Arabidopsis thaliana: one gene and its partner. The protein of the gene in region 2 interacts with the protein of the main gene of each other region in a pairwise test. Each region holds a gene or a part of one and is shown on either strand. Other genes may lie near its edges.

Region 1 (3,912 bases), on a different chromosome or scaffold from region 2:
GGAGATGATTGGACATTACCTTGCGGAATTCTCAATCACTTACAAACCCGTTAGGCACGGCAAGCCCGGTCATGGTGCTACACACTCCTCTAGGTTTATCCCTCTCAAGTGAAGCCATTTCAAGACTTCATTCTGCTTTTACAATTTCTTTTGTTTTGCTCATCTAAATCTATCTTCTTATCATCATGTCTCTGACACTCTAGTGTCTTTAAACTTTTCTTATTATCGTAAAAAAAATTCTTGGTGATTTTCTCTATAATACTTAATACCATTATGAGTTTGGACTTGAGTTAGTCTTTAATTTTTTTTTTTTTTTATCTCAGTCTTATTTTTTATTTTATTTTATAAGTCTTAAAATTATTTGATTTTGATCCTTATATATTTTAATAATCTACATAATGCGTAAAAATACACTTTTCACTTGAAACGGTTACAAGATAAAATAATAAAATCATATGTAAATGTATTAATAATGAATGTTCACAGGTAAAGAAGGGGTGATGCATATGAGACGTAAAATACAATATAGGTATTGCTAACTTTAAGATTTCTTGTAATGTTTAGTATCAATAGCTTTAAAACAAGTATATATATTAGGTTCGAAAGTAAACTTAAAAGGGGTTATACAACTAAGACGTATAATGAAATATAGGTGAGTTTGTTGAAGACTAACATCACATTCTCACAATCGTGCAGTGAGATCTTCTCACCAAATTTTTTTGACTCTTATGAATCTACATTCTAAGATCTCTCTCATCTCAATATTATTTAAGAAACCATTCTGTAAACAATATATAGCAAAACACAAACTCTCTATACTCACAACATTGTTTAACTCATCTTTCTAAGTTGGTTTCGATTCAAGAATATCACAATGACTAATGTTCGCCTTCCTATTCTCGTCTCCTCGGTCTTGTTCCTTGTCTTTATTTCATCGTCCCTCTTGTTCCCTACACCTAGTTTTGCTGCTAGAGTAAGTCATTCTCTGGTGCAAGAAGAGGTCAAAAAGGTTCCAGAATACACAGAACCTGAGGAGCCGGAAGTTCCAGAAGAGCCGGAGCTGCCCTCACCGGAGGAGCCTGAGATTCCAGAAGAGCCTGAGATTCCAGAAGAGCCTGAGGTTCCTGGAGAACCCGAAGTTCCTGAAGAGCCCGAAGAACCAGAAGAGCCAGAAGGGTCAACATTTGAATTTCCATCATGGTTTCCGAGCTTTCCTATTCCCGGTGTTAATGGCGGTTTGCCAAAGACTGAAAAGACAAAACCTACATCAACAGTTGAAGAGGTTAACGTTTCTAACAAGAAGCCATAGATCAATGGGTAAAGAACGTCAAATGATTATATAAACTATATATGCAATTATAGTTTTGGTTTGTGTTTGGTTAAAGATGAGAGATTACATATGTATTACAGTATTAGAGTCCTCACCATGTCATGATTGAGTCTCTAAACGCTCCTGATATAATCTCGTACTAATTCTCTCTTGTAATATGTATATCTCTTGTGGTACAAAAAATATATATATAACTCTTAAGTAAATCATGTAATGTAAGATATTTAATTAAAGATATAATGTGTCAATTGTCGGTGTATATGACGTTCGTCTTAATGAAACATCAAATTTTATGAGTAGATGTTAGATATAGAACATTGGTTTCATTGACCAATATTGGTTTATTCCTCTAGCTTCAATTATTCTTTTTCTGTAATGCCAAGGTGTGCATCAAGACAAAACAAGAAACATTGTGCTAAAAGCTGGAACCCGTAATTCAGGACTAGTACACAAACACAACTACTCGTTGCATTATTTTCTTCTCAAGTAGTTTGTCTTCTTCCATTCCAACTTGTTCAATTTCATTTCTTCTTCTCCAAACATTTTATTACAAAAGATCTATTATCTCCCAAACTCTTCTTTTCTTTCAATTCCCATTCCTCAAAACATTCTCTCCTTACAATAAAATCCTCCGGTAATCGTTTCAATGGGCTTCAAACCATTTCTTGAAGGTGGCATCGCCGCAATCATCGCCGGAGCTCTGACTCACCCATTAGACCTCATCAAAGTCCGTATGCAGCTTCAAGGCGAACATTCTTTCTCGCTCGACCAAAACCCTAACCCTAATCTTAGCCTTGATCATAATCTTCCCGTGAAACCTTACCGACCCGTTTTCGCTCTTGACTCTCTCATCGGCAGCATTTCCTTATTACCCTTACACATTCACGCGCCGTCTTCTTCCACGCGCTCCGTCATGACCCCTTTCGCCGTAGGGGCACACATTGTCAAAACCGAAGGACCCGCCGCTCTCTTCTCCGGCGTCTCCGCCACCATCCTCCGTCAGATGCTTTACTCTGCCACCCGTATGGGTATATACGACTTTCTTAAACGAAGGTGGACTGATCAACTCACCGGTAATAATACTAAACTCGATCGGCAACAATATTACTCAAAAAATAATTTTGGTTTTTATTCGGTTTGGTTTGGTTTGATTACACTAAAAGTCGTTTACAGTTCTCGGTTATTGGTTTTAAATAAGAAAACCAATGGATTTATAAACAAATGCTGGTTCGGTTTCGATCTTAAACAGTTTCGGTTTGTTTGGTTCGAATTTTTTCCATATTATTACACAAAAGATCAAATAAATTAAACGTAAACGATAATTCCAAACAGGTAACTTCCCATTGGTAACCAAGATCACAGCTGGACTCATCGCAGGAGCCGTTGGATCAGTCGTCGGGAATCCTGCTGACGTGGCGATGGTGAGAATGCAAGCCGACGGAAGCTTGCCGTTAAACCGTCGCAGAAACTACAAGAGCGTCGTGGACGCGATCGACAGGATCGCAAGGCAAGAAGGCGTTTCAAGTTTATGGCGTGGCTCATGGCTAACCGTGAACCGTGCCATGATCGTGACAGCTTCTCAGCTCGCTACGTATGATCACGTCAAAGAAATCTTGGTAGCTGGTGGCCGTGGAACGCCGGGAGGGATAGGAACGCATGTAGCGGCGAGTTTTGCGGCGGGGATCGTCGCGGCGGTGGCGTCGAATCCCATCGACGTTGTGAAGACGAGGATGATGAATGCGGATAAGGAGATTTACGGTGGACCGTTGGATTGTGCGGTGAAGATGGTGGCAGAGGAAGGACCAATGGCTTTGTACAAAGGGCTTGTTCCGACGGCGACGAGGCAAGGACCGTTCACGATGATCTTGTTCCTTACCTTGGAACAAGTTCGTGGTCTGTTAAAAGACGTTAAATTTTGATTAATTTTTTTCAAGTAGTTAGGTTAATAAATGTTTGAGATTCCCATATTTCTTCATACATTTCATATACGTTTAAAATATTTTGAAAATAATTATATAGCGATTAAGGTAATATTTACTAGAGATTTTTGTATAAAAATAAATTATTTATTTGCACAAATATTTTTTTTAGTAAATGCGAAAACTGATAGTGATTGAAGCAAAGGGACTTTTTCGGACGGTCCAAGTCTCTTGGACTTGGGGGATATACTTTTGCTGGGGACCTTCATTTGGTATATTCCTTTTTTTCTTTGGGTACTATGTTCTATTTTCTTGGTTGACAGAAAATATGAAATATCGCTTCTAAATTACAATTTCTTTTGTTTGTTTGTAAAAATCTAAATTAGAAATTATGCAAAAAATTATAAGAAAATAAGATTAACAATAATGTTTTTCTTTTATTGACTTTGATCATATTATCTCTATAAAAGAGAAATAAAATCTTTCTAAAGTTTTTTTACTTGAGTTTGAAGCTGGTGGCAATTTGGTGTTTGTTTTATGAGATTGTATAAGAGTTATCCAAAGCTGAGACATGGCCCAAAATAAGTCCAAGGCCATGTTTAGGCTCCATTTTGCATGGCCACTCCACTCATCTAACCAAAGCCCAGTCTCAATTATGTGAAC
Region 2 (4,463 bases):
AAAAACATGGAAATTATTATGCCCTTCTTTCATTGATCAAATTTTTATATACCAAAGCCATAGTATTTTGATTCATTCCAATATTTTATACTGAGTATCACTGAGACACTGACTATATATATGTATGTATTCTCGCGCTATCCGTAATATGCTAGGTAATATAGCAGTGATTATTAAACGCATTAAGATCATCATACGTAATTCACGATAATTTGTAATCCAAAAACTTAGGTGTGACCAAAAAAAAAAAAAGAGTTGAATCCTTCACCTACCAAAAAAATGGATTGTGACCAAAAGACCATGACATATCAAATTTTTAGTGATTAAACCGATTTCTTCCAAGATGCTAGTATTTGTTTTTATCTTGCCATATTTTAGTGATTTTTCATAGTAGTAAATATATCACTTTGACCACATTTAAAGTTGATGTATGTCCCCTTCGCATTTGTCATGTCGGTTAGGCATTATATGTCTCCTTTTTTCCTGATCATATGCTCCTATCAATTTCTACAAACTCATGAAAACGATTACTAGCTATATAAATCAAGCATAGGGTTCATAACATGCAACTTTAATTCCCCACAATTATCGCAAATAAAATTGTATATAAAGGGTTTATCGTAATTATCATAATGTTAACATTTTCATAATATAGATACTTTTGGTTTGACCATCTTTTCCTTAATATAAGTTAATAAATTAAGATGCTCTTTTACTTGCAAACAGAAAGTTCTAATGTGAAAAAGAAATTGTTATTGCGTAATCATGATCTCACTTATCCGTCAGCATAAGTAACGATCCACTCCACATAGCTACGTCACTTAAAGTCCCATAGTAACTAATTTTCTTTGAATGTTATAGCAAATTATTAGCAATGTATGATTCTTTGGGTCAAATCTTACACTAAAAACATGAAAATAATTTGAATATCAAGAGATTCATATATTCATATTTTATAACCAAAATATGTAGGGTCTAAATTATTGCTTCTTGACTAGGAATTACCTATGAATAATTATTAAGGTTCGTGAAACAGTGAGGGAAAAAGAAGAAGAAGAAGAGAAGACAGTCTCTAGCACGTGCCAGGTCATGTGTCGGCGACGGTCAAATGCCGGTGCAAGTGTTTCCACGTGGCAGCCTAATACTCCCAAAATATAATCTTTTGTTTTCGTAAACTTTTTTCCCTTTGAATCTTTGACTGCCTCTTACTGCATTCTTCACACCAAACGACCGGCCGGTGACTGAGTGTTTCCGGTTTCCGGTAACACATAGTCTTCGCTGACTAAGACTCCTTCAATAACGTCGTCTTCTTCCACGCGCCGTTTAGTCGTAGCGCGTGTTATCAAGCCCGTCCACTATATATGCCACGTATAGAGTGGGGAAGAAAATGAAGGTGAGAACTTTTCATGTCCTACTTTTTGGCCCCATAAAAAAGGCAGCACACAAAAATAACCCAAAATTTATGCATGTTTATCAAATGTGGAAAAATAAAAGTAGAATTTTAGGAAATTTATACGAAGATACAATGCAAAGACTCGAAGAAATGTATTTAGTGGTATAGAAATACTTGCAAGTAAGCATATTCTGAATTAAAAATATAGAAGCTTAAGTATGTTTCCTCACTAGAAGCCAGTTTTGCAGCTCTATTTTTGTCAACTTAGCTTTACGTAAAGTTCTTATTGCCCGAAACCAAAAAGTCATTCAAAAGGCATAACATGATATCACAAATAAAATTATCATCTACTTCTATATCTTATTTCTTGAATATATATATATATATATATACCTATCTATTAAGTTGCTTATCGTTCACATTATTAATTTATAATTAACTTTATGTACATTTGACTGATAAACATTAAAAAGACTTATTTGAACCTTTTTGTATATGAATTCAAAATTATACTGATAAAATAACGTGAGGAAGAAATATTATGAAAGCTTTTAACATATAAATTAATTTGCATAGGAAAAAATTACACAACTTAAATTGAGATTAGTTAAGAAACAAGAAAAAACAAAGTTGATAGAAAAATAAAAGTATTAACACGACTTTGGATTCACACACGTACCATTGAATTATATCTCAATACACTTTTACTTAATTAACTTATTTCCAAACCAAGTAGCCAAAATCATATTATTCTTCTCTCTCTTCCTTTTTTGAGTTTCAAAATGCATAAATACGAGAACGAGAGACGAAGACCAAATTAAAGTCCAAGCACCAATCTAGACCTCTTAGGAAAAAAACCTAAAAACCTAATCCCCAAACCTAAAAGGCTTATCTCATCTCTTCTTCTTTGTCTTCTTTACTCTTTTTTTACCTCTCTCTTCATTGTTCTTCACCATGTCTAATGAAACCAGAGATCTCTACAACTACCAATACCCTTCATCGTTTTCGTTGCACGAAATGATGAATCTGCCTACTTCAAATCCATCTTCTTATGGAAACCTCCCATCACAAAACGGTTTTAATCCATCTACTTATTCCTTCACCGATTGTCTCCAAAGTTCTCCAGCAGCGTATGAATCTCTACTTCAGAAAACTTTTGGTCTTTCTCCCTCTTCCTCAGAGGTTTTCAATTCTTCGATCGATCAAGAACCGAACCGTGATGTTACTAATGACGTAATCAATGGTGGTGCATGCAACGAGACTGAAACTAGGGTTTCTCCTTCTAATTCTTCCTCTAGTGAGGCTGATCACCCCGGTGAAGATTCCGGTAAGAGCCGGAGGAAACGAGAGTTAGTCGGTGAAGAAGATCAAATTTCCAAAAAAGTGTAAGTCATAACTCTATAGGAACTTTTATGCAAAACATTGAACATCATTTGATCTCTTCGTTTAGGAATTTAGTCTAGCATGTGTATTAATTTTATAGTGTATTATTTTTCAGTGGGAAAACGAAAAAGACTGAGGTGAAGAAACAAAGAGAGCCACGAGTCTCGTTTATGACTAAAAGTGAAGTTGATCATCTTGAAGATGGTTATAGATGGAGAAAATACGGCCAAAAGGCTGTAAAAAATAGCCCTTATCCAAGGTAACTAAACTTTCCCTTTTTATTTTTTGAAATTGCTAGGCTTGTGAAAATTTGTGTTTAGAAAAATGCGACCATTATAGTGTAACTGATAATAGCCAATGGAAACGAAAATAGGAGTTACTATAGATGTACAACACAAAAGTGCAACGTGAAGAAACGAGTGGAGAGATCGTTCCAAGATCCAACGGTTGTGATTACAACTTACGAGGGTCAACACAACCACCCGATTCCGACTAATCTTCGAGGAAGTTCTGCCGCGGCTGCTATGTTCTCCGCAGACCTCATGACTCCAAGAAGCTTTGCACATGATATGTTTAGGACGGCAGCTTATACTAACGGCGGTTCTGTGGCGGCGGCTTTGGATTATGGATATGGACAAAGTGGTTATGGTAGTGTGAATTCAAACCCTAGTTCTCACCAAGTGTATCATCAAGGGGGTGAGTATGAGCTCTTGAGGGAGATTTTTCCTTCAATTTTCTTTAAGCAAGAGCCTTGATCGATCATTGTTATAACTACATATATTATATATATTGAGAGAGAGAGGTAGAGAAAAAAAAAACTTATATGTAACTTAAGATCTTATTTTGTCTCTCTTATTTGCATGTACATATTTTTTCATGAAAGAATGAGACAGTTGGGCTTGCTTATATATTTGATGATGTTTAATGTGTTACCGTTGGATACATATTTTCGCTTCCATTTTGTGAAATTATATTTTCTTCTTTTGGTTAGTTTTTTACATTATGATATTATGCTGTGTAATTTGTACTATCATATGTAGAAGCGAAAAAGACATAACTCTAGCTAGGAGCCTACGATTGATCTCCCAAATGTTGATTATAATATATACATATGCTTTTGGGAAACTTAAGTATTAAATTGACAAGTTCAAATGGTCAACTTCTTACTGATTTATATCTTAATAATCAAAAATTACAAAAAAAAGTTACAAGCTCATATGTGATGAAGAAATTAGAATCGGAAATTTAATGTAAGGGTGTTGATATAAAAGGTTCAAGTTGTAGACGACGAATATCTATGTGTGTGAACAAGTAAAGAAAAAACAAAACAAGTTGAGATCTAACCTTGTGTCCTAAGAGAATGGACCCGAATAAAAGATTTGACTGCTTCTGCTTTCTATCTTATCCACACACACATGGAAACATAGACTGTGGACCAATAATATTACCCCTACCATCAAAACTGAAAACAATGTTTTAATTCAAAAAACGAAAAATAAAAAGAAAATACTAAACAATAATAAAATTATATATCAAATCTCAGATTTATAAAGAGTGAATGAATTACAAAAAAAATTTGAAGGAACGAGAAGGATGCGAAGAAGAACCTTAGAAAAAGATCTCTTTATATATTAACTTGTAAATGTGTTTGTGCAAATGAAAGTATAGGCAACAAAGTAATAGTGGA

What was found.
Region 1: the proteins of WRKY28 (region 2) and DIC3 interact in a two-hybrid assay, tested with the Arabidopsis thaliana proteins (one large-scale study listed by BioGRID).

Annotation. Positions count from the first base shown.
Region 1 is NC_003076.8:2,948,578-2,952,489, reverse strand, and holds DIC3 (dicarboxylate carrier 3), read left to right. Parts: upstream 1-1,794; 5' UTR 1,795-1,976; coding exon 1,977-2,403; intron 2,404-2,662; coding exon 2,663-3,249; 3' UTR 3,250-3,358; downstream 3,359-3,912. Other genes in the region: AT5G09490 (Ribosomal protein S19 family protein), read left to right, coding at 1-112; AT5G09480 (hydroxyproline-rich glycoprotein family protein), read left to right, coding at 875-1,309. UniProt on the Arabidopsis thaliana protein: PUMPS are mitochondrial transporter proteins that create proton leaks across the inner mitochondrial membrane, thus uncoupling oxidative phosphorylation.
Region 2 is NC_003075.7:10,059,161-10,063,623, forward strand, and holds WRKY28 (WRKY DNA-binding protein 28), read left to right. Parts: upstream 1-2,053; 5' UTR 2,054-2,347; coding exon 2,348-2,778; intron 2,779-2,891; coding exon 2,892-3,035; intron 3,036-3,149; coding exon 3,150-3,531; 3' UTR 3,532-3,733; downstream 3,734-4,463. UniProt on the Arabidopsis thaliana protein: Transcription factor. Interacts specifically with the W box (5'-(T)TGAC[CT]-3'), a frequently occurring elicitor-responsive cis-acting element.